2 linked regions of the Bombyx mori genome follow. The protein of the gene in region 1 purifies or fractionates together with the protein of each later gene. This does not show direct contact. Links are inferred from orthologs where the notes say so. Each region holds a gene or a part of one and is shown on either strand. Other genes may lie near its edges. The genes, in order: inhibitor of Bruton tyrosine kinase and ribonuclease P protein subunit p25-like protein.

Evidence for each region.
Region 2: the proteins of inhibitor of Bruton tyrosine kinase (region 1) and ribonuclease P protein subunit p25-like protein purify together in Homo sapiens (co-immunoprecipitation; 3 studies listed by BioGRID and IntAct, with this or other methods). This does not show direct contact. The link is inferred for Bombyx mori from reciprocal best matches to the Homo sapiens genes IBTK and RPP25L.

Annotation. Positions count from the first base shown.
Region 1 is NC_085125.1:10,538,201-10,550,744, forward strand, and holds the start of inhibitor of Bruton tyrosine kinase, read left to right. Parts: upstream 1-5,777; 5' UTR 5,778-5,927; intron 5,928-12,544. Other genes in the region: NADH dehydrogenase [ubiquinone] iron-sulfur protein 4, mitochondrial, read right to left, coding at 3,758-4,114, 4,731-4,890, 4,994-5,148. UniProt on the Homo sapiens protein: Acts as an inhibitor of BTK tyrosine kinase activity, thereby playing a role in B-cell development. Down-regulates BTK kinase activity, leading to interference with BTK-mediated calcium mobilization and NF-kappa-B-driven transcription.
Region 2 is NC_085116.1:9,658,875-9,671,323, forward strand, and holds ribonuclease P protein subunit p25-like protein, read left to right. Parts: upstream 1-6,155; 5' UTR 6,156-6,194; coding exon 6,195-6,290; exon of another isoform or gene 6,291-6,906; coding exon 6,907-7,091; exon of another isoform or gene 7,092-7,108; intron 7,109-7,165; coding exon 7,166-7,285; intron 7,286-7,871; exon of another isoform or gene 7,872-7,988; coding exon 7,989-8,109; 3' UTR 8,110-8,285; downstream 8,286-12,449. Other genes in the region: preimplantation protein, read right to left, coding at 8,530-8,764, 8,851-9,060, 9,484-9,647, 9,833-9,886. UniProt on the Homo sapiens protein: May be a component of ribonuclease P or MRP.

The sequences.
Region 1 (12,544 bases):
TCAGCCGGTACGGCCAAGATTGCTAACAACCACCACAACGCCTCTGAACATGGTCCAGTAGCTAAACAATGCTTGGCGAGTGCATCTACCATCGGATCGAGCACCGAGAATAGATCCATCAAACCATGTCTAGGGCATTGATGGTAGTATGTTTCTGCGTGAGCTGGATCAGGGCTGTACTTAGGCGACCACGATGAGAAGGTTATCATGCCGCATAGCTCTTGCGAAATAGCGTTCCTATGCTGTCTACTCTTATAAATGGGTTCTGAACTTAGACCGTCGTGAAAATCTAGATTCTTCTCCGAAAGCTCCGACGGCTCTTGTAAAGAAACGAGATTGAAAATTTTCGAATCTACGTAACTGCAAGCCGCGTGATTGAATACTACGTTCGCATAAGTCATATTAATTAATATGTTTGATCAGCCTAAAAGTTTTCAGAGCTCTCATTACATTTAAAACTACGGGTTGCTTTAAATAGTATACATACAATTTAGCCAATTTTATATAATAAATAAAAATAAAATCGCACAAAAAAAATTAGTAGACTAATAAGTTTATTTATTTTACATAGTTATTGATGTTAAGTATTTCTTGTGTAAAAGACAATATTTTTCATCTTTTTACGTGAAATATTTTAACGCAGGCTTATTGGCCCTAGTTCTGAATATATATTTTTGTTTAATTATCTGTATGGGTTAATTTTTTTTCATATTTGGCCCGTCCAAAATTATTTCATTTATTTCAATGGCAGAAAAGTTTACAATAGTTGGCAGCGTTCTGTATATTTTTAAAATTGTTTGTATGTTGGCACAAAGTGCTTGTTTGAAGTAGATAATAGTAGTTCCGGTATCAGCATGCCTAGAACAAATTTTAAAAATAGATTTCCTAATTCTTAAATTTTAAAATTCATATTAACACTATTTCTATTTAGCAAGGACCAAAATATTGTCTATTAGTACCTCTTCAATTTTATCTCGAAAATTCTCTAGACCAAAAAATACTTTACCGTTATTTTTCATGTAGTTTTTCGAAGCCTGTTTCGATTTTTAGTACTTAAGAAAATGAAATGTTTTGTATTTTACCACTAGGCTTTACATTTACACAATTGCTAAACAAATTATCCATTCACTAAGATACTTAATAATTAAAAAAAAAGAAAGCGTAAAATGTTCTAAGAATACGTAGAATTCTCGTTATTGTTCGTTACTTTGTAAATATTAAAGAGTATGAAATAATTTTGCATCTATTTATACTTACATCAGTTTTAAGGAGGTCAATAATTACTTTTTAAATAAATTTATAATTTATTATGTACAATGTACATGTAAAATTGTTCGAAGCATGTGTCTGTAATGATTCGATTTGTGTAATATAATAATAATATGTTCAATTGTATGATATGTAAATAAAAAGTTTTGAGTGATACTGGCGAAATATGATTTCCTTCTAAGGTACAAAGTAAGAATTAACCATGTTGAAATTATGATTAAATAAAATTATAGTACTTTCTGAAGTTTCATTATTCTAAATCTGCTTAAAAAAAACAATCCATTTATTCTTCTTCTATTTTTGAACGTTACCAGTCCTATAAAATAGATGTTAATAACTATGATGATGAAAGGCGATTGCATGCAGCAGAGATGCGAATGTTGCGATGGATGTGTGGAGTAACGAGAATGGATAGAATACGGAATGAATATGTTAGAGGAAGTCTGAAAGTGGCACCTGTGACAGAGAAGCTGAGAAGTGCGCGTTTGGGATGGTATGGACATGTGATGAGATGAGATTGGTCAGAAAATGTTAACTATGAAGGTGGAAGGATATAGAGGAAGAGGTAGACCTAAGAAGAAATAGATGTATTGCGTGTAAGACGATATGGGTAAGAGGGGAGTGAGCGAAGAAATGGTATATGATAGAAGAGTATGGAAGGAGAAAACACGTTGCGCCGATCCCAGGTAACTGGGAGAAGGGCAAGATAATGATGATGATGAACTATGGTTATCAGTGTCAAGTTTAAAATTTTTTTTAGTTCATTGTGTGATCTTTTATTTTTAGAAATTATATGAAGAAAACGAAATGAAGTTGATTAATTTGAGATATTAATCAATTTAGAATAAAAAAAATTGTTTTATAGTTTAAAAAACTTAATTAGTTTAAAACAATAAAACACTAGCACTAGTAAAAGCTGTGCTTGGCAGAATCTACCACCGGATCTTCGAAGTCATCATGACCTAAAGGACAAGACGTCCGATGCATTCGTATCTAGCGATGCACCGGTGTTCGAATCCCGCTGGCAAGTACCAATTTTTGTAATGAAATACGTACTCAACAAATGTTCACGATGGACTTCCACGGTGAAGGAATAACATCGTGTAATAAAAATCAAACACGCAAGATTATAATTTGCGTAATTACTGGTGGTTGGACCTCTTGTGAGTCCGCGCGGGTAGGTACCACCGCCCTGCCTATTTCTGCCGTGAAGCAATAATGCGTTTCGGTTTGAAGGTTGGGGCAGCCGTTGTAACTATACTTGAGACCTTAGAACTCATATCTCAAGGTGGGTGGCACATTTACATTGTAGATGTCTATTGGCTCCAGTAACCACATAACACCAGGTGGGCTGTGAGCTCGTCCACCCATCTAAGCAATAAAAAATAATAAAAAATATGGTAGGACCTCTTGTGAGTCCGCACGGGTGGGTACCACCACCCTGCCTATTTCTGCCATGAAGCAGTAATGCATTACGTTTAAGAGGGTGGGGCAGCCATTGATACTATACTGAGACCTTAGAACTCATATCTCAAGGTGGGTGGCGGCATTTACGTTGTGGATGTCTATGGGCTCCGGTAACCACTTAACACCAGGTGGGCTGTGAGCTCGTCCACAAACCTAAGCATTAGAAACAAATAAATAAAAGATTGGAAACGTGACCCACTGAGAAGATGCGGTGATAAACTCAGTGGGATGTCTGTGGGTTAATTTGCTGGCCGAATCCTTCGCATCGCAAGGGACAGGTTCGACGAGAACGTTGACTGGTGCTTGAGGTACCTAATAGCACCGATAGTGGATCGGGCGGATACGAAATGACGTTTAGGAGGACGGCCATTGTTTGCCATTGGGTCTGTAGGGTCGGGTGTGTAGTTACCGGCGGCCAGGACAAGAGAGTTTTCGTACCGCGACGCTTTCTCGGAATGGTGCGCTGATAATATCGACTGTATATACTTACTAATAGAGTCCAACTCCAGGTTATCGTGAAGGTTCACGTTCCTCACAAACCACGGTGCTTGGACAGCTTTTTATTTTTTTTATTTCCCTTGTAGGCAGACGAGCATACGGCCCACCTGATGGTCAGTTGTTACCGTTGCCCATGGACTTCAGCAATGCCAGGGGCAAAGCCAAGCCGCTGCCTACCAATCTATCCTATAGAACCAGAATTGAATAGTTTCAAGAGGTTTTAAATTAGTGCAGACCGCATGAGCGAACACTATACTTGCATAGGTCATAACTGGACGAATGCAAGTTTTGTGGAGAACCATAATATTATTAAGGGCCATTTTACTTCACTTGAAAATCATCAGATAGATAAAAATGTAAGATTTAAATCTGAAACAAAAATAATCAAAGCACTTTTACAAATTGCTGTATTTCATTACTATACAAATTATTTTAATTAACATAAGTAGTATCACTGAAATCAAAGTCTACTTTTTCATAACATTATTTAATATAATAAAATTAACATTTTTGAACTACCGTTTTACTTAGTGGAGACTCGAGTACGACGATTCCAAGCGAAATTTAACCCATAGCTTTTAGGTTTGAAATCCTTCTCGGTTTTAGGAACATCAATGTACCACATCCATCCATTTTTCTCACAATGCTCAATTGCTTCATCAGGAGATCTGAACTGAATTTTGACATTGGACAGAGGATCTCCTGAGGATGTCCAGCCCATCAGAGGATTTTCCCAACGTTGACGAGTGTCAAATTCCATTTCCCAATGATGGATATTATTTGTACCACTCTGCATTGCATTCTTCGCAGGTTGATAAATACGTACACGGCGAGTCTTAATATGTTCTTCTGGGACTCCTAAAATGGGGCTGAGATCTGCCTAGAATTGTAAAATATATTTAGTTTGATATAATTATACAAAGGCAAACTTGTGACCAAATCCAAATTGACACTGCTGTTTTGCTTAAATTTTTTTTTTTTTTTTATTGCCTTTGTAGGCAGACGAACATACGGCCCACCTGATGGTGAGTGGTTACCGTCGCCCATGGACTTCAGCAATGCCAAGGGCAGAGCCAAGCCGCTGCCTACCGCAAATTTTTGCCAAAATAGTGTAAATTCTAGACTAATTAATCATTATCTTCAAACGTTAGGCGAGTAAATTTTATTTTATATTATTTAAAGGCATTCACTTTCTCTGTATTCGTTTCTATGAAATATAACCATAGGAATATATTCAGATTTTATCATTGACTTAATGTTTGATGAGTTTGCTTTATCTAAATTTTATTTATTAAATTTCGCTAGCTGATATTTTGGTCTCTTTGACCTATACACTGCATATTCCATGAAACATTCTTTTTAGACATTTTTTAAAGAATGTAAAACATTATAGAGAGCAGTTTCATCATCATTTTTGTTAATAAATGTTCAAGACATTTTATTTTTAAAATAGCATCTACCAGCATAGAGCTCATCGAGAAAGACTTGTAAATTACCTTCGTTGGCACTACAATAGTGGAATCCAGTGCTTTTTGATGCCGAGCTTCTTCTGGCAAGGCCAAAACGGATTCGTTTTCAATTTTAGGTGCTTCCTTTCGGCATGTTGGATCTGCATCAGCATAGCGAACATTGTACGTTGAAAACGCACCTTTAAACCTGAAAAGAAATGGATTTCTTCCTATGTAATTTTGACAAAAATAATTTGGTATGGGTTTGGGTGCTTGTTCAATCTTAGATGGGATAAGAGCATGTAGCTCACCTTGATAAATGGTTCTTCGATAAACCTGCTGTCTGGCAGATAGCTTTGAACATTGCGACTTTTACGTAACAATCAGTCCAAAATATTATTTCTCTTTTGTTCCAACAAATTTTATCCAAATTGACATGACAATTGACTTTTTTGACATTTCTCATTTTATTTTACTCTGCGTTTCTTCTCCAACAAATATACGACTTGGACTTTTCGGCGGGAACGCGAGCAGTGAAGTCGTGTGGTTTGTTTTATTTTGTCTATTTAGTGTTTCTTCAGGTTTAAATGTGTTGTTGTTGTTGTTGTTGTTGTCCTAGGGTACCCCGCTGGTACATAGGGCCCTCACAAGTTGTCTCCACTTTACTCTGTCTTGCGCTTGCTCCTTGACATCTTAAATGTGTAATAACGGTTAAATGTTAGTTAACTGTTTAGTATCTTTGAAAGTGAACAAATGTGGGAAAATCAAACAAAGCCGCTGAACGTAACTCGTTGGGATCTTCCAAAAAGTTCACTGAAAAAGTCTCAGTAAATGACCAGCATTATACTGCGATTATATTTCATACCTTATCATCACATCTCATTTCATTTCACTTCACTTCATACCATGTTTCATATTAATCAACTTCATTTCATTTCACTTCACATTATAATTTTTCATAAAAATTTAGAATATTAAAATAATACTTGACCTAAAGGTTTTAGCTACCAGGTCATAAAATCCCTTTAAAAAAATCTATTATCTATGCTTCCAACCGACTGCCTAGAGCACTGACAGCTTTTTTGGACAGTAACATTCAAAATGACGACTTTGACGCCAACTGCTGCACCCGGAATTCGGTGAATCAACAGTCCGAAAAAACCGAGATCCAGATCCAAAAAACTAATTTTCTCTACATCTAACATGAAGTTGAAGTGTGTGCGAGAGAGAAGGTCCATTCATTAGGTACAGTTTTAAATGTGTTAGAAAGAATAAAACATAATAGTAGAATATCTGTTATGAGTCCAAACTCTCCGGACTATTCACACCCGGAATTCGGCGACTCAACAGTTGACGCATATCTTGTTGAACCCGGAATTCGGCGATTGCACTGTCCAAAGGCGAAACTTAGGAAACGAAACGTCAACCAAAAATTCGTGCCACTGTGACGTCATCTGACCACAAAACATGGCGGTTTTAGTGCTGACAAAAATTTCAATGTTATCAGGTTTTATCGATAAACGTTCTTGGCTCATTTTATTTTAAATATTGTTGAGTATTATTTATTTGTAGAATTTATACTTTAATGGGAAGTAAGTAGGTATATTGTTATGTGCAAATATGATATGATTTAGATGGGTGAAATCTAAGACAAGTTCGTCCTTCGAATTTGCCAAGTAAACGTTATTATGATTTTTAAAAGTTGCTACACTGATTTTATAAAGTTGTCATTTCTCGCAAAACATAAAGATATGGCGTAGTACAGTGCCATTTGCCCATTTCTAGCATGCTAAATGTTCTCGTATTTTGAGTACGTGTTATTCTTAGACTATTACAATCTATTTTAATTGTTTTGCTGACTCTAAAGTCCGTAACACACTACCGCAGCGCACCCCAAGGAAAGTGCGCCGCACCATTTGAATCACTTTCACTTGAGAGTGATTCAAATTTTAAACTTATCAAGGGACCGCGTGAAAAAAAAAACACCTACGTCTACCTACACCTACCTATTTATTCATTATTAAAAACGTCATTCCTTGTGACTTCCTCTCTAAAATCACTTAATTATTAAATATTTAACGAATTTATAATAGTGTTTTACTCACTGCGGAGTAAAACTATTTTATTTAAATAGTTCCGAAGAGATTTTGTCGGTAGCCTTTTTCCCGAAATATCTAAACAGAATGTCTAAATATGTTTTGATGATATATTTTAAAGAGGTATTTATGATTAGTGTCATGATCAATAGATTCCGACCGAAAAATGGTGTCCGATTTTTCGGATGAGGGCTCCATAATGGATTTAAATATATATAGATCGACTCATCCGCAGAATATAGTCCTATCTGTAGGATTGATAGTTTTCAGTAGAGGTTAAAGAAGTTGTTGACTTGTGTAACTTTTAAACGGTGCGACTTGTTGTTTAAATTTTTTGGTATGTTGTTACTACGTCTCAGCTTTGTTAAATACTGTGTAGTTTATAACTGTTATTCTTTTATTTCTGGAGATAGTGAGTTCTATATTAACATAAGACGTTTTATGGCAAAACAGCGAGGGTCCTTAGTGAACGTTACACGTTGTTTTATGGACACATGTAAATTAAATGACGTTCTATATTAACATGAGTCGGTTTTCTTTGGAATTACTAACTACTAATGAGTCCTACGTAAATAACAACCTTGAAATATTTAAACATAACGTTCCTCATATCATCACTGCCCTCCTATATAACTAAATAAAAAAGATAGTAATTATTTAAAATCGTTTATTAAGTGAAAAAATCTCAAAACTGGTATAAAGAATCATCATAAACAGCAATCATAACACTAAAAATTACAAAAAACTTACAGGTTCATGTGTCAATTAGAACATTGCAGGACGCAGACGCGGACGAAGATAATAAAACTTATTTTTTTTATAATAACAAGATTAAAATCAGCAGTCTCAAAGTTTTTTTTTATTGCTTAGATGGGTGGACGAGCTCACAGCCCACCTGGTGTTAAGTGATTACTGGAGCCCATAGACATCTACAACGTAAATGCGCCACCCACCTTGAGATATAAGTTCTAAGATCTCAGTATAGTTACAACGGCTGCCCCACCCTTCAAACCGAAACGCATTACTGCTTCACGACAGAAATAGGCGGGGTGGTGGTACCTACCCGTGCGGACTCACAAGAGGTCCTACCACCAGTAAACTATCTACTCACTAATCGTAGAACTAATCTACTAATCACTAATCTATAATAATCAGCCTTCATAATTAATCAATCAGTCTTACATAGTAACCTAGACTTATAACTGGTGCACATACTTAATAGCAATGAAATGGCATGTAGACAAACATTAAATATTATAATTAACATTGCTTCGCTAAATTAGTAGGAAGAATTCAGCTCTAAAAAGAGGAAGCAGACACTAGATAAAATTATTCCGATAGATTATCATCCGATTCTTCAGAAAGAGTAACAGTTATGTGATGTGGCAAAGAGTTAAAGTATGGAGTTCCTCTAAGGGAATAAGTTCTGAGCGGCACATATCCATTAAATCTTTATATTTCGCAGCAGGAATCATAATAGGTCCAGAAAATGCAGCTTTTAGTTCAGCTTGTACCGAGTTCCTCGTATTACTACGAATTACTAAAATATCATAATCAGGTTGAGTTAGATCATATTTAAAAAACAAATTTGTTGGGATGTTATTCCAGTTAATCTTCTTGCACTGAATGTCTTTGATCCAAACCTTATTATTAACAAGACTTTTAAAGTCGAATACGTCATCCTGGGTTACGTTTCGAACAACATAGGGTTCTCCTTCATTCTTGGCCCATCTTACTAATAAACGCCATTAATGAGGGGTATATATAGTTTTGGTTTGAAAAGCTCTCTTGATGACAGAGTGGATACTGTCCCCCTCATTTTGGGTATGCCCTTTCTGTAAAAACCGGTGTGTATATGTTGAACTTTTTTGCGGCATAAATGTATAATGAATATACAAAGCGATTACAATTTTGGCCAGCACAATTGTCTGACCAAAAGCGGAACTCCTTGGTCCCTTGTTCAACATTAGTCTGTATAAAGTTTAAGAGGCAACTGCTTACCTCGTTTGCTCCACGTTTTTCCACAGATTCATCCCACAAATAGCAAATGGCCTTCTTTTTACCTATATCAAAAACCGTAAAGTTAAAAGAAGATAGCTTTCTGTTATAGTAAAATATATTTATATTGGTTAGAGGACACTGTAAAACTTTTCAAAATCAAACAGCAGTAACCATGTTTCCGTTTGACTCCTCAGCATCTTTTTTATCTAGGCTTTTTAAATGCCTTGCCTTCTTATTTGTCTGGTGTTATTGAAGAGCTTCTTTCTCTTGGTCAGTTGGATTTTTATTCAATCGAAAAACGTGACATTCCTCGCACTAATCCTTTTTGGGGTTTGAAAACCTAGGGGTATGAAAACCTAGATTGAAGTTTGAGTTGACAATGTCACGATACTGGCGTTCTTTTATGGCTTTAGTGCTGTATTTTTCAGGGTCATGATACATGATTAGGGCAGAATACGGTGTTGCAGATCGAATGGATATTAGTAGGAGATTGCATGAGTGCTGGTACTGACAGTTCCAAATTGAGCGGAGTACATCTGTGGTGATCTTCTAAATCTTCAAGCTGTATATGTGGTAAATTTTCGTAACTTAAAGGCACTTTCAAAGAAAATATACTAGGTTGGTTGCTGTAATCATCCAAGGCAGATACATCAGGCACGAGATTAGGTACTGAGCTGTCGCAGGTAATTTCCTTGGTCCCACTATCTTCATGTAGCATTTTTCCAATACATCAGCTAGTTCCTGACTGATTTCTACTGGTCCAGGAGGCAAAGGTGACGTTTGTATGTCTTACAGGTATCATCATCATTTACAAATGAAAATTTAAAAAAACTCATATTTTTATGACAATTTATAAAATACTATTTATATTTATGTGTTTTGCAAAACAATTTAATTATACAGAAATAATTTAACAAAATTTAAATAAAAAATCGTTATATTTTACAACTTTTTTGCACGATTAACGTCCTAACTGATTTCATTATCCCAGTAACAACGTCTCATCTTACTAACGAACCAACAAATCGCGTCACAGAGTTCGTAAAAAAATGTCCCATATTCACATAGAACGCTTAGAGGTTCAATAGTGTTCGTAAAATATCGTCCTAATATTTCATAACGCTTTTATTTTTAACAGTTAATTATTATAGAAAGATTGATTACTCCTGTGAATATGCATTACGCCAATTGTGTTTTTGCATTAAAAATGCGTTTCATTACCTATTCGTCAAAAAACGTCTTATAAAAACATCGATCGACTACAAGCACTTATTGAAACAAAAAAGCAATATAGATAATATTTTTTTATATAGAACTTAATAGCGTGTGAAATTATGAAATAATACAACTGAAAAGTTGGCAAATTAATATTATTTACATTTTTCTCCATATGAACAGCGGCTACATTAGAAAATGATGAACTAAGGTCAGGGTCTTCTGTATCAGCCTTAAGCATATTCAACATTTTCCGTGATCGCGACATGTCTAAAAATATCTTTTATCGAGCAAAATACGTGTTACATTATTAATTTAAAATCAAACAGTAAAAACCTAAGCGCTTGACACAAAGACGCCCTCTCTCCAACAAGTCCAACGAACAGCGGCCGGACTGATAGACAAATAAATAGAGTGCATGGACATATAGATATATAAGGACATTGATAACGTGCACATAGATTTTACTAAGAATAGAACGTAAGTTACTTTGAAATAAATAGTATACACTTTTGCTTTGTTATTCCCGATAGTTTTAAGATTAGCATATTAACTTAAATGAACACGCGCCCGGCCCGCGTCCCGAAACGATGTAACAAACAGCATTTATCTGTGTTCAGGACCGGGTATTTTGTTTATACGGGCGCGTCATATAGATTAAGCATAGAATCAGTGCGGCCGCTCCGTGCGGGCCGGCGCTTGATCACTCCGTACGTTTTTATGCGGAGCTAACGACAGATAGAACGTTATTCAATTATATATTTCCGAAACTAAATGAGATACAAAAATTCCAAAAACACACGTCCGTAGAGTTCGTATCCCTTATTTCGCCTAGCTATATAACTCGTTTTTGCTCTATGATCACATCGGACTTTGTTCTGCGGATGAGTCGAGATAATAGTTTTTGCATCGACTTTCTTGAGATCCTATAAAATACGTTTGAATTATTATTTTTGTATGTTCTAAGCATGATAAATTATGAAATTTTATATAAGCAATCATATTAAATCGATATCAAAGTCAATAATTAATGTACAACCCAAAACAGACTGCCGAACTGACAATGACATTTGGTGCGCTCAACATGGCGGATTTTCGGCCTTATTAGACGGAGACGGAGATAATTACGTATATTCATGTTTCATTTTATGTACGCACTGAAATACTGTTATATTGTTTTCCTGCGAGTTAAAGTGCTGAATAAGAACGAGATAGATATATGTTTATGTGTGCGCCTTCAAAAGGGGTGCTATTTATATAAGCAATTGTACGTATAGAACAATATGTCGTGTCCCTACTATATAGGTCTATGCCTAGAGCAAGACTGAGCAAATACAAGACATATGCTAATCATGTTCTGAAAAGGATTGAACATGACATAGTTCTTCTGAGTGTCGGAACTAGTTCCAGAAAACATAAACTAAACAGTTCCGCGAACACATTAAGTCTAGAACCTATGTGTAGTGTAGTTTTGTAAAGTAGCCTACATGCAACCGAATTACGTAATGTAGCTAAAAAAACTAGCGATAGTGGTGAATGTTTTAAAATTCTCTAATTTTGAATTAAGATTTTCTAATAAATGGTTAAGTGCTCGTAAGAATGGTGCATGGTCAAGGTCAAAATTCATAGCAAAACATTTTTATTTATTCAACTATCGACTGTAACACGTAGGTCGTAGAGCATAACTTCATTATTCATAAAAATGTAATATGAAAGAGCTCCACACGCAGTTGCATGCACTCTTCAAACGAAGCTTGTGGAGAGTATTAAGCGGTAGGCAGCGGCTTGGCTCTGCCCCTGGCATTGCTGAAGTCCATGGGTGACGGTAACCACTCACCATCAGGTGGGCCGTACGCTCATCTGCCTACAGAGGCAATAAAAAAAAAAAAACTTGCTCCATCACACTCCCTCATATTCGCACCATAAATAATTCGCATTATCTCGTTACGTAGACTCGTGTCGGCTTGGTACTCTTTCGGGTGGACTCGCCGCGCCACGCCGCGCAGTACTATAAGCTCTAATCATGTCCGCATGTCCGTCATGTTCAACGCGTTCGTAGTTCCTTCTTAACTAATTTTCGTTCCTGCATAATAGTTCACTTGGAATGGAACTGTCTGCACATGTTAATTTTGACAACTCGGATTGAATGATATAGTTCCAGGAACTACTTCGGTCCAGAACTACCCATGTATATACACATGTGGTCTAGCAATGTGAACCGATTACAAATTCTGGCTCCGGTTTATTACCGATTTGTTTCTCAGAAAACCGATTTTTAAGGCATTTTTAAGTTTTTTCCAATAAGGCTAAATAATCATTAAATAAAACAAATTTACGTGCAAACGAAGAGTTTTCTTCATAAAATTAATAACCTTATTATTATATTTTATATAGGCTTAATGATCATATTGTCCAATAATAAAAAGCTTTTTATTTTTGATTTAATACTATTGTATTTTTTCAAAATAGCTTTTTCTTATATTTTACATGGTAATTGCACTGTAGTTTTTAAATGTAATGCACGGGAATTTGAGTGAACACGGTGTTTTT
Region 2 (12,449 bases), on another chromosome or scaffold:
TGGCTGATGTGATATGGGCCTTCGGTGCATTTTGGCCCATCGCAGGAGAAATTATCATACTCGCAGTATTCCCCCATGATCATCTATAAAACAAAAAATATACGAAGTGATTCGCAATTTTGATACAAATCTCTTAAAATATAATATAAGATATTATATAATAAAACGAAACGAACTTAAATTTATCAAGATAGAAATACCATAAGTCTCATACATTTATGTTACAATCAAAATTCTGAACCAGTCAAAATGACCATAACAGTGAATATTATTAGTCAAAACCGCTTTTGATAACAACATTGATTAGAATTATTTCTGCCGTGAAGCAGTAATGCGTTTCGGTTTGAAGGGTGGGGTAGCCGTTGTAACTATACTGAGACCTTAGAACTTATATCTCAAGGTGGGTGGCGCATTTACGTTGTGGATGTCTATGGGCTCCGGTAACCACTTAATACCAGGTGGGCTGCGAGCTCGTCCACACATCTAAGCAATAAAAAAAAAATATTTTTTATCAACTAAAGTACTATAAAGATAATGAAAGCAATATTGAGAAATAGGTAACTACTATACTGTAAAAATGGAGACTCCGAACTCAGGTATCGAGATGAGCCGCGGTATTAACGTGGCTGACGTCTATTAGCTCCGGTGACCACTTAACACCAGGTGGGCCGTGAGCTCGTCCACCAATCTTTGCAATAAAAAAAACTACATTACATTAAATATTCATACTTTAAAACCTCATCGATTTACCTTAGAAGGATTAGCGGCATCAGTATCACAAACACAATGACCGCAAACACAGGTTCCCCGTCCAGAGCATTTCAATCCCTTCGTGACCTCTGGAGAGAAGCAATTATCTTCATTTTCTTTGCTCTGACATGAACATTGTGCGTTCTCTACGATACTAACTGAAAAAACAACATCATTAGTTATTAAATGAACTTCAGGCTCGACAGAAGAGGCCCGTTCCCGGAATCTGTAAACGCACAACATAAATACCGCAGCTCACCTAGACAAATTGGTGCCATAGCGTGCCCTTACATCTGATAAATAAGCAAGATCCTCTAGTCTGAAAACGATTCATTTTGAAACGATTACAGAATAAAACTTTTAATCAATACCTACCTGCTTACCCGAGCAGTCTACCGAATATTCTTTGAGCCCGTATTAAAATTAATAATTATTTTAGTAGTCGTGGCCTAAATTGTACGACTCCCAGCATAAGTGACACGACGCGGCGACGGTGCCGGTGTTCAAATTTCGTGACAGGTACCAAGATATGTACTTACTTTAGACGTTTTCACGTCATCCATCGAAATAACATAGTGCAATTTAACAAACCCATGAAATATATAAATTGGCTTAATTACTCATAGTATGACGAACTCTAAGCCCCATAAACTCACACGGGTAGGTAGGTACTAATTACAGTCTATTTCTGTTGCGAGGCGTTCACAGGAAGAGTGGGACGGCTTTTATTTAATACAATACAATTAAGACATCAACTTCACGACTCGAAATAGGTGGCGATTTTGACATCGTAATGTCTATGGGTTCTAATAGCCACTTAGCATCATGTGATCCGTGAGTTCGTACACCCATATATGCAATAAAAAATCTTTAAATACATAAATAAATGGACGACGTTTTAGATTTTTCCTGTGCCTGTATGAATGAACATTGAAAAAAATCAATTTGTATTAGTCCTATTTTTAAAGTTCTTTGCTTTCATGGGAACTGCCGGATTTTGAGAGAGTAGAATATGCTCATGTGTCCTTTTCGGCTTCTTCCTGGTTACGTTCACGAAGTAAGACATTCTTCACTCATCTTAACCATTTTTCTTTCTTAATATACCTACCTACCTAATATATTTCTATAGGTATTCGAAAATAACACGGCGTAAAAAAAACCCATTTATATTATTTTGGTATAGTAGAGCAATTAGGTAGGTAATAAATTTTCCTGCACACAATACCTACATTGATACTGCTTAAGTAAATTAATCCTATTACAGGAATTCGTGATAAAATCTATTTAAGAACTTTTTCATGATAAACTGGAAATTTCAGTGCTATGATGTTTTTTTTCTATTACTTGAAAAAAAGGTGTTTTTTTTTCACTAATAAAAATAATAATATTCCGCCTATTTCTGCCGTGAAGCAGTAATACGTTTCGGTTTGAAGGGTGGGGCAGCCGTTGTGACTATACTGAGACCTTAGAACTATATCTCAAGGTGTGTGGCGCATTTACGTTGTTGATGTCTATTAGCTCCAGTAACCACTTAACACCAGGTGGGCTGTGAGCTCGTCCACACATCTAAGCAATATAAAAAAAAAAAAAAAAAACTGGAGTAAGGCGAAAGAGGTCTTTAACTAAACTTACCTAAGAGCTTGTACTTACGTCCAAAATCAGTAAATTCGATAGTATCGTTTACGCAGAGGCCTTTGTTACCCCACAACTCGTTTGAGAAACATTTGTTTTCTTTTACACACCACGAGCATTGGGATAATTTCAAACAATCAAAACATGAGACCTTAACAGCACATACCCAGCGCTCATCCATAACGAACGGTCTTTTCGCTGCCATAATAGTCCATGGTAAAACAGATAAAAATAAAAACGCTACTTTAACTCGAGAACACTGCATAGTGCTTTTAGATAGAAACTTAATTAACTGGAAAACGGGAAAATACTTCGAACGGTATTATTGTACGATAGCCCTGACATAAATAACGCAATTGCTCTGTACTTACAACTCCTTCGATAACCTTTAATCTTTTAATCATGCAAATAAATAGTGTTTGTGGTTTACGCACACTTATTAGTAAAACAATATGTTTCCTAATATTAATAATATATTAGATAATTATTAGAACATTAAGTACATTTTCTAAATTTTAAGCACATTTTGGGCATGGTAATAATCTTTTATAAATATTTTAAAGGATCCCCTAAGATCCAGACTAACAATATTTTTTATGAACATTAGTGCGTCGGCGTTACTTTGATAACTTACTTACTTATTTGTATTAAAAGGGGAAATTCAAATCTAATAATTATTTTCTTACCATATATCCATATCTTACAGCCATATATATATATATCTTCACAGTTTCTAGGTCAGTAAATGGAGTTGAAAAAATTTGGTTTTTAGCTCTTAAAGACCTAATTATGGATAAGGCGCCCGGTGTTCTCGTATAAAAAAATATTTACAGAAAGGTATCCATTTTTCTAGACATACTACATACCTAACACATGTTCACGATCGACTTTCGCGATGAGGGAATGACATTGTGTCAAACCTTCAATATTAATGGGCGAACGAAATCAAAGTTCACCTGGCGTTGAAGTGCTACCTGAGTCCGTAGGCCGTCATCACAAGGAGAATGCTGCCAACCATCTTGAGACTTGAGATCGAAGTCAGAATTGTAAATATAATATTAACTGTCGAACTAGCGTTTCATCACAATTACTTTGGTTAGGTTAGGGTAAAATTGAGGTTCCCAGGCCTTATTCTTGATGGTCGTTGTACCTTTTGTACTCACTTCATACACCTAATCCCTCGACTATCTTGTCCGACCGTCCTGCCTATTTCTTGGGAGAACGATCGAAACGAAACGATCATAGGTTCGGGCTTGAATGGTAGGATGGCCATCATACACTTGAAACTTCGACCTTAATAAAAAAATATACAAAGTTGCTTCCCGTGTTCTTTCAAAATCCATTAAGTCTCTCAGAAAATTTCTATCATCACTGAGAGGTTATTTCTGATCATCTTCTCCAATAGTTAAGATGTTGTATTAAGTCACCTAAATTCTTCTTCTTTTCAGTATGGCAATTGACGTCTTGAAATGCTATTTCTGCCACTATCGAGATTATAAAAAATCTTCAATTAAGGAATATACACGTTATATGAAAATGGCCCAGAATGAAATGGTTTTTTTTTTATATAGCTTAGATGAGTGGATGAGCTCACGGCCCACCTGGTATTAAATAGTTACCGGAGCTCATAGACATCTACAACGTAAATGCCGCCACCTACCTTGAGACATAAGTTCTAAAGTCTCAGTTGGTCATCAACAGTACAATGACTTTGTCACCTTTCAAACCGAAACGCATTACTGGTTCATGGCAGAAATAGGCAGGGTGATGGTACCTACCTGTGCAGACTCACAAGACGTCCTACCACCAATAATTATGTAAATTATAATTTTACGGGTCTGATTTTTTTTACACGATGTTATTTCCTTCCATGTGGAAATCAATCGTGAACATTTGATATGTACGTATTTCATTAGAAAAATTGGAAACTGCCTGCGGTATTCGAATCGATGCATCGCTTGATACGCATGGACTGGGCGTCTTATTCTTTAAGCCACGACGACGACGTATCGTATTTTATTTGAGATACTAATCTATTGAGATGAAATCGGAGGAAACGAGATTAAATGACATGTCATAACGTCCCAGTAAAATAGTGGAGATTTACTGAGACTTCAGTCATCCTTTTGAAGGAACCAGAAGAACCACGAAGAACCAACGAATTCGTCTTGGCCTATTGAAGTCGTCGTGGCCTAATGGATAAGACGTCCGGTGCATTCGTGCTGAGCGATGCACCGGTGTTCGAATCTCAGGCGGGTACCAATATTTCTAATGAAATACGTACTCAACAAATGTTCACGATTGACTTTCACGGTGAAGGAATAACATCGTGTAATAAAAATGAAACCCGCAAAATTATAATTTGCGTAATTATTGGTGATAGGACCTCTTCTGAGTCCGCGCGGGTGGGTACCACCACCCTGCCTATTTCTGCCGTGAAGTAGTAATGCGTTTCGGTTTGAAGGGTAGGGCAGCCGTTGTAACCATACTGAGACCACAGAACTTATATCTCGAGGTGGGTGGCGCATTTAGGTAGTGTGTACACTGTATGCGCGCGAGTTAATGTCCATCGAGGCCAGAGGAGACGCGCGGTGGCAGCCCGCCCCACCTTCACCCGTCTCCCCGCATTTGTCTGACGTCGAGTGTTGTCCGTCACGGTTGTAACGCACGATAACGATATCGAAAATTTACGCTAACGCTATTGTGTTATTTAACCATGACTACTCCGCTTCCAATAAGTTCAGATAGAGATAAAGATACATGCTGATTCCGACTCTGATCTGTCGGTTGTCTTTTCATTCGATAGTGATTGAACAGGAATTTAAAAAATATTTTTCTCTATTAGAAATAAACAAGTAATTACTTATCACATTTATTTTATTCCATAAATTGCAAAATTACCTTAAGTTACATTAAACCAAATCGACAGCTGTTGACTAAATCGGTAGTTATTATCTACATTACCATATTTAATTAGGTCACAGCACTACCGTATTTCTCAGGATGGACATGAACTCGCGCGCCTACAGTACGTGCGGACTCACAAGTGGTCCTACCACCAGTAATTACGCAAATTATAATTTTACGGGTTTGATTTTTATTACACGATGTTATTTCTAAAGTCTCAGTTGGTCATCAACAGTACAATGACTTTGTCACCTTTCAAACCGAAACGCATTACTGGTTCATGGCAGAAATAGGCAGGGTGATGGTACCTACCTGTGCAGACTCACAAGACGTCCTACCACCAATAATTATGTAAATTATAATTTTACGGGTCTGATTTTTTTACACGATGTTATTTCCTTCCCCGTGGAAGTCAATCGTGAACATTTGTTAAGTACGTATTTCATTAGAAAAATTGGTACCCGGCTGCGGGATTCGAACACCGTTGCATCGCTAGATACGAATGCATCGGACGTCTTATCCTTTAGACCACGACGACTTTAAACACCTTATCCTACACTTCTGCAGTATTCTGCACGTTCACAGATCGTAAGCGGTTAACAAGCCACCACTATGCTACGCTTAAACTCCAAGAAATATTAAATTAGTAAAAAAAATTGTATCTCGCTTTCTCGCCCAAAAATTCCTCACTTCTTTTAATTTAATTTAATTTCCGTCCATTTCACTTTTCATGCGACAGGCTTCAGCATTTGTTACAAAAGATTTTGCAGTATGAACTTTGTTCCCTTTGCCTGTCTAATGGACGAATTCAAACAAACAAACAATCGTAAATATAACCTCAACACAACGATTTAACCTCAGATATCATACATAATAAATGTATTGTGTATAAATTATCACCACTAATGGAAAATTATACAAAAGGCAAAAATGTTGAACAGGAGTTTGAACGAGATAAAATTCCCATTGAAGGCTTACCTGATAATTTCCTTTGGATGCAGGTACATCGCAAACTCTAATTAAAAAAGAGTCAAACTTGATGGTTAGGGTGTTTAATATTAATTTATTTAAATCAGACATTGTAATGAAAACCTAAAACACAAAACGGTCAGGCAAGCTAAACCACTAGTGAAAAAATGGTTGCTTACATTGAACTCTATGGACACAGAGAACTTAATTAAAAACAAGAAATAGCAGTAGATTTTTTAATTTTGTATCTTTTTGTTTATTTTTTCTTATTAATTTATTTTATAATTGTTTATGTCTACGCTCCCCACATATGAGTAATTATTTGATGTGTTATTTTTAATACTCAAATTTTTTTATTATCTTATATGTTAAATCTTCTAACGCATGTTTTTGAGCGTAATAATTATTAATAATAGTGATGTCGTTTTGAGGTCAATTATATACATCGTAAATCGCATTTTGGTCCTCACGATACACGCTATGCCTAGTGTGAAGATCATTGGTTAATTTTATATTGTTGATGCCATCTGCGTAATCTCTAAGTTTGTTAAATATGTAAATAGTATTCTAGGTCATGATTTAAGAGTTTATGTAGTAAATAAAGAAATTATAATTATATATACATTATTATTTACTTATTTGATACAGGTCAGAGGAGGAAGTAAGATGTCAAACCTCCTAAACCACGTAACCGGCATACTAGAAGATAAAACAGCAACAGCAGTTGTTTGGAGCGGTGTTGGTGCAGCTATCTCCAAAACAATATCTTGTGCAGAAATTATAAAAAGGCAATTTTCTATTCAGCACCAAGTGACCAAACTACTGTACCAAATGTATGATAAATCATTATCTGTTTAAATAAAAAAATCTCATTATTTTCTAATTAAACATCGATTTTTCCCTTTAGAGTAGAAGAACACTGGGAGCCTAAAATTGAAGGCTTAGAAACGTTAGTAGTTAAACGCCAAATACCTGCTATTCATATTCTCTTAACAAGTGAACCTTTGAAAGATTTTAATCAACTTGGGTGAGTTATTTCATTTTCAATTTGTGTCCATAATAACTATTGCCTGTTGCCATAAATATGTGCCTTGCAATGTATATAAGTCTGTGGGCCATTATCTGAAAATTAAGAAGTTCATTTTTGCTTCTCATGTGCCGTATTTTATATTATTTACTAATTACCAATAGAATATCTTTATTCTAATGACAGCTATGCTGTTGGAACAGGCAGGATGATCATTGCAGAGTCATAGTAAGCTAGTTAGATTAAGAGATAGATAGGCTGTCCTATGCAACTTGGTGTTTTTTAAAAGTCTGGCATTGCATATGGGTATTTAGGAGTACATATAATTTCAAGTATATGTGATTAATAGCCTTCTTCAATTTGTATGCCTTTTACATACATTGATTGTCATAACAAGTCTTGTATATACATTTTAACACATTTTTATATTCATTTTATTACCGAAACAATAATAAGTATATCATCTTTGTTGAATTAAGCTTTCCTTTAGATATATGTAACTATTACCATTTGTTAATTTATCTTTAAATATTATTTTATGCAAATAGGCAAAACTAGATGAAAAATCAAATCACAAAAATCTCACCATCTATTATATTAAACCTAATTCATTTCCTGCAATATTTTAGTATTTATTTCTCTATTATTAATCTGACAAAGTATGTAGGTTATGTAAATAATCACAAATTGTATTCTCTTTTAGTTGTCAATCAATAAATGGAAAAAAGTTTTGGGAACAAAATGAGAATCAACCAAATAAAAAACAGCAACTACACTCAAAACGAAAAAAGGTATTCAAGCAGATTCAAAATAGCAAAAATTAAATATTTTTCTGTGAACTATTAATTCCTATGAATTTCTATTACTATCCTGTAATAAAATATTTATTTCTTCAACAATAATAGACACAATGTTTTTTGTGATATTATTTATGTGTATATTTGTAATAAAAGGTGTGAATCCAATAAGTGAAATTGGCAAATAAATGAATGTTTGTGCACATTTTATTTATACTTGATTTACAGATCTATCAATACCATAAACCTATGTAGAATGAACATTGTATTGTGTTAATGCATATAAATAATTTAATTTATATTGGTGTACACAATTTTTCACACTAAATTTAAATATATAATTTAACCTTGGTAGTGGAAGAAACACAAGTATGTAAATAAATAAATTCAATTTAAATGTTGTTTTCCATCAGAGAAATGTTTAAATTGTAATTGTTTAAACAAATTTCAAGCTTCTGATTCACCAGCTGGTACTTCATCATCAAGTTTAGGTAAAATTAGAATTTCTTGAGGTATTATTGGGTATTTTGTTACAAAATATGTGAATCTCTTGCATAAATGAGTTTCTCTTTCAAATGCATCATAAATTGAACGATGATGAAAGTATGCATGTGAGAAGATCCTGTAAACCCTTCTACAAACAGATCCCAACTTGGCAATTGATGAATCCTTGATGTTCACCCTAAAAAAAATTAATTAATGTTTTATTTAACTGTATTAAAGAACATTTGGTTTGTATAATATTATAAGAATATATAAATTTTAAACCTGCTTGGAAAGTATTTATTGCTATTCAACAAGCAAGCTGCTCCATCTAGAGTGTGCCGTGTGTAATCAATGGCTGGACATTCTTTAGGAGTTTTATGTGCTGCACACAGAAATATCCACTGTTCTGTTGCAGTCATTTGTGTACATGTTTCAGGTTTGCATTCATTTTGTAGGCGCACAGCCAATCCATTGAGCTCCATACAAAATTGTCTGTAAAATATGTTATTTATTTATTACACTTCATGTAACATTTACAAAGGTGGACTAAATGCCTAAGGCATACTCGACCAGTCAACCAAAGGTAGTGCAGAGTAAATAGTGGTAGGTAGAATGAAAATTATATTAAATTGCAAATACATACACAAAAATGTATAGTAAATATGTAACATCTAGTAAAATTGATAAAAAAATCTTTACTACACTGTTAGTTAACTTAAAATAACTACAAGTTCAGCCATTGAGAGAAGGTTAACAATATAATTATATTGATCAAATATAATTTAGTCCAAACACTATAAGTAAATCCAAATTACATCTTAACAGTGTAACATGTTCTTTCAGCAGCAAGATGATAGAATATATTCTATTACATTAGAACAAGCTGTAAGTTATAAATAAACACAAGAAAAATACCTTAGATGTTCATACTTCCAAACACCTTCATCCAACACCTCTGGCATCTTCAAAATAGCTTCGAGATTCGAAGGGTCACGTCGAATAGTTTGTTGAATAAATTGTTGAACAGCCAATGTGCTATCCATTTCTTCAAAGGGTTCATCAGGCCAGCGACAGAAGTCCTGATTAGAACAATGATTGTAATTTAGAATATTCTTCGATATTCGCGAGTCTTAATTAAAATAATAAACACAATAGAAACTACTTTTAGGGTTTAATCCTGAAATAATTTTAATTGATATATGATGGTGGCACATAAGTAACGCCACAATACCTGTTTTAATTCAGTTACATTTGCTGTGCATACCTTGGCTTTGGTGCCGGGTCGATTGCGTCGGAGTATTTGAACTCCGTCGGTCATTTCTTTTGGTGGAATGGCGACAAGATACTTTTGTTTGTCTATACTGGTTCGAATGTTAACAAGCCTCTGATAGTTACGACGGCACTTATTTGAATTATGCTTCACCTCTACCACTATTATTTATATTTTAGAATTATAAGAAACTTTAGCTTTAGCCAAAAAAAATCCTTTCATAATATGAGAGAGAGGACAGAGGACTCCGAATCATAGATTATACGCTTAATATTTGAGAACCGAATATTTTTCAGGTGACTGAAGTTAGCCCCTAAAAAAAAATTTTCTGTCCTGTTTTCTACTTATTTTCTATTAATTCGTTTGGTCATCATTTGTTCTTGATTGTTCACTGTTAATAATTGTTTGTCCCACATTTATTTATTTTAAAAAAATTATTAAAAATATATGTACAAGTTAGCCCCTCGATTGCAATTTTTAATATTTTTTCGTCCTTAATGACTCGTAAATATTCATTTTCGATTGTTCTTATATAAAACACGTTTGTTCTCTTTCGAAATTACTCGTTTTTTGTTTAATTTACTATTTGTATTAGTTGAATAAATGTATGCAAAATATGTATACTGCGCATGCGTCAACTATAATGCCTAAACTTTCTACGCGGTTTTAATCGTGAAAAGAAAAACAAATATAAATCCTGAAGGAGCAATTAATTGGTATACAGTTTAATTAAAAAAATAAAAAAATAAATAAATGAAATAATGTACATTGGCGTAAAGTTAGACCAAATATATTTTTCCATCCTCCTACCTATCGATAATATGTTCATTATTTATCTTTCAAGAGATAATGTAGGTATACATTTTAATAACTTTTTTACACAGTCGAAATTATATTCCTAAAAAATATATAGGATTATATGTGTACTGTAGTAGTAGTAGTAGTAGTAGTATGTAACTTCCTAGTCATAATCATCAGCCCATATAATATATTCCCTTGCTGGACACTGGCCTCCACTACCATTGAGAGGGTTTTTAGGCCTTAGTCCACCACGCTGGCCTAGTGCTGGTTGGTGGATTACACACATAAGAAAATCCTAAGCACATTTAGGTGTGCAGGTTTTATCACAATGTTTTCCTTCACTGTTAAAGTAAGTAAGTGATATTACACTGTGATAAATTTTCATTATCACAAACTTCCGAGTACCTTATGTAATAGGAACTGAGGTCCACTTGCCCATTTTAGCTACTTCCACTAACTAACTAACTATTCTCGTTTTTTCTGATATTGTTATTTGATTATGAGATCTGTGAGTGTTACTAATTATTGACAGTTACACCTACCTTGACTACAAGATGGCAAAGGTATAATAATATAACACATCTCATTTTTAGTCGTCTCTTCAATCTCCTTGACAATAATGAGTCTTTGCCGTTTCACAAATGCAGGCCGAGGTTCACTTTGAGTGAATTTTCGTTTTCTATCTGCCCGACAATCGAATTTGGATGGTAAACAGTTTGGTTTCATTCGAATTCATTTGATGGAGCCCATTATCTTGTATTGCATATAATTCTCAATGTGGTTTTCCAGCTAAAACATGAAATAATTTTCCAACACTTTCAATACATAACCTATAAAAAAAAAAATTTTATTTTACTAATGTTAGGAATATAATTTCGACTGTGTAAAAAAGTTATTATAATGTATACCTACATTATCTCTTGAAAGATAAATAATGAACATATTATTTACTTATTTGTTTATATTACCTATGTGAACTCCCTATCTTTTTTATACCTTCATAACGATAGGTAGGAGGATGGAAAAAATGTATTTGGTCTAACTTTACGCCAATGTACATTATTTCATTTATTTATTTTTTAATTTTTTTAATTAAACTTATACCAATTAATTGCTCCTTCAGGATTTATATTTGTTTTTTTTTTCACGATTAAAACCGCGTAGAAAGTTTAGGCATTATAGTTGACGCATGCGCAGTACACATATTTTGCATACATTTATTCAACTAATACAAATAGTAAATTAAACAAAAAACGAGTAATTTCGAAAGAGAACAAACGTGTTTTATATAAGAACAATCGAAAATGAATATTTACGAGTCATTAAGGACGAAAAAATATTAAAAATTGCAATCGAGGGGCTAACTTGTACATATATTTTTAAATATTTTTTTTAAATAAATAAATGCAGAACAAACAATTATTAACAGTGAACAATCAAGAACAAGTGATGAACAAACGAATTAATAGAAAAGAAGTATAAAATAGAAAAAAAAAATTTTTTTGAGGGGCTAACTTCATTCACCTGTATTTTTCATTACTTTGGATTAAAAATAGTGACTCCCAGAAGAAAGTACCGTAAAATGAGGTGACTAGGGATTGAGAGGTGAATGGGGACAAAACCAGGAAATCTTTCGACGCTCAATATTAATTTTTAAACCGTTGCAAAATCTTCCATTTTTTATAGTGTAATAGTAGAATCTTGAAACTTTACAAAACATCTCTGAATATGCATGATAATAGAGGCTAACTTATAAAAAATCGCATTTCAAATTAACTTCTTGTGGTGGTAATTATTTTAGTGCTAGAAA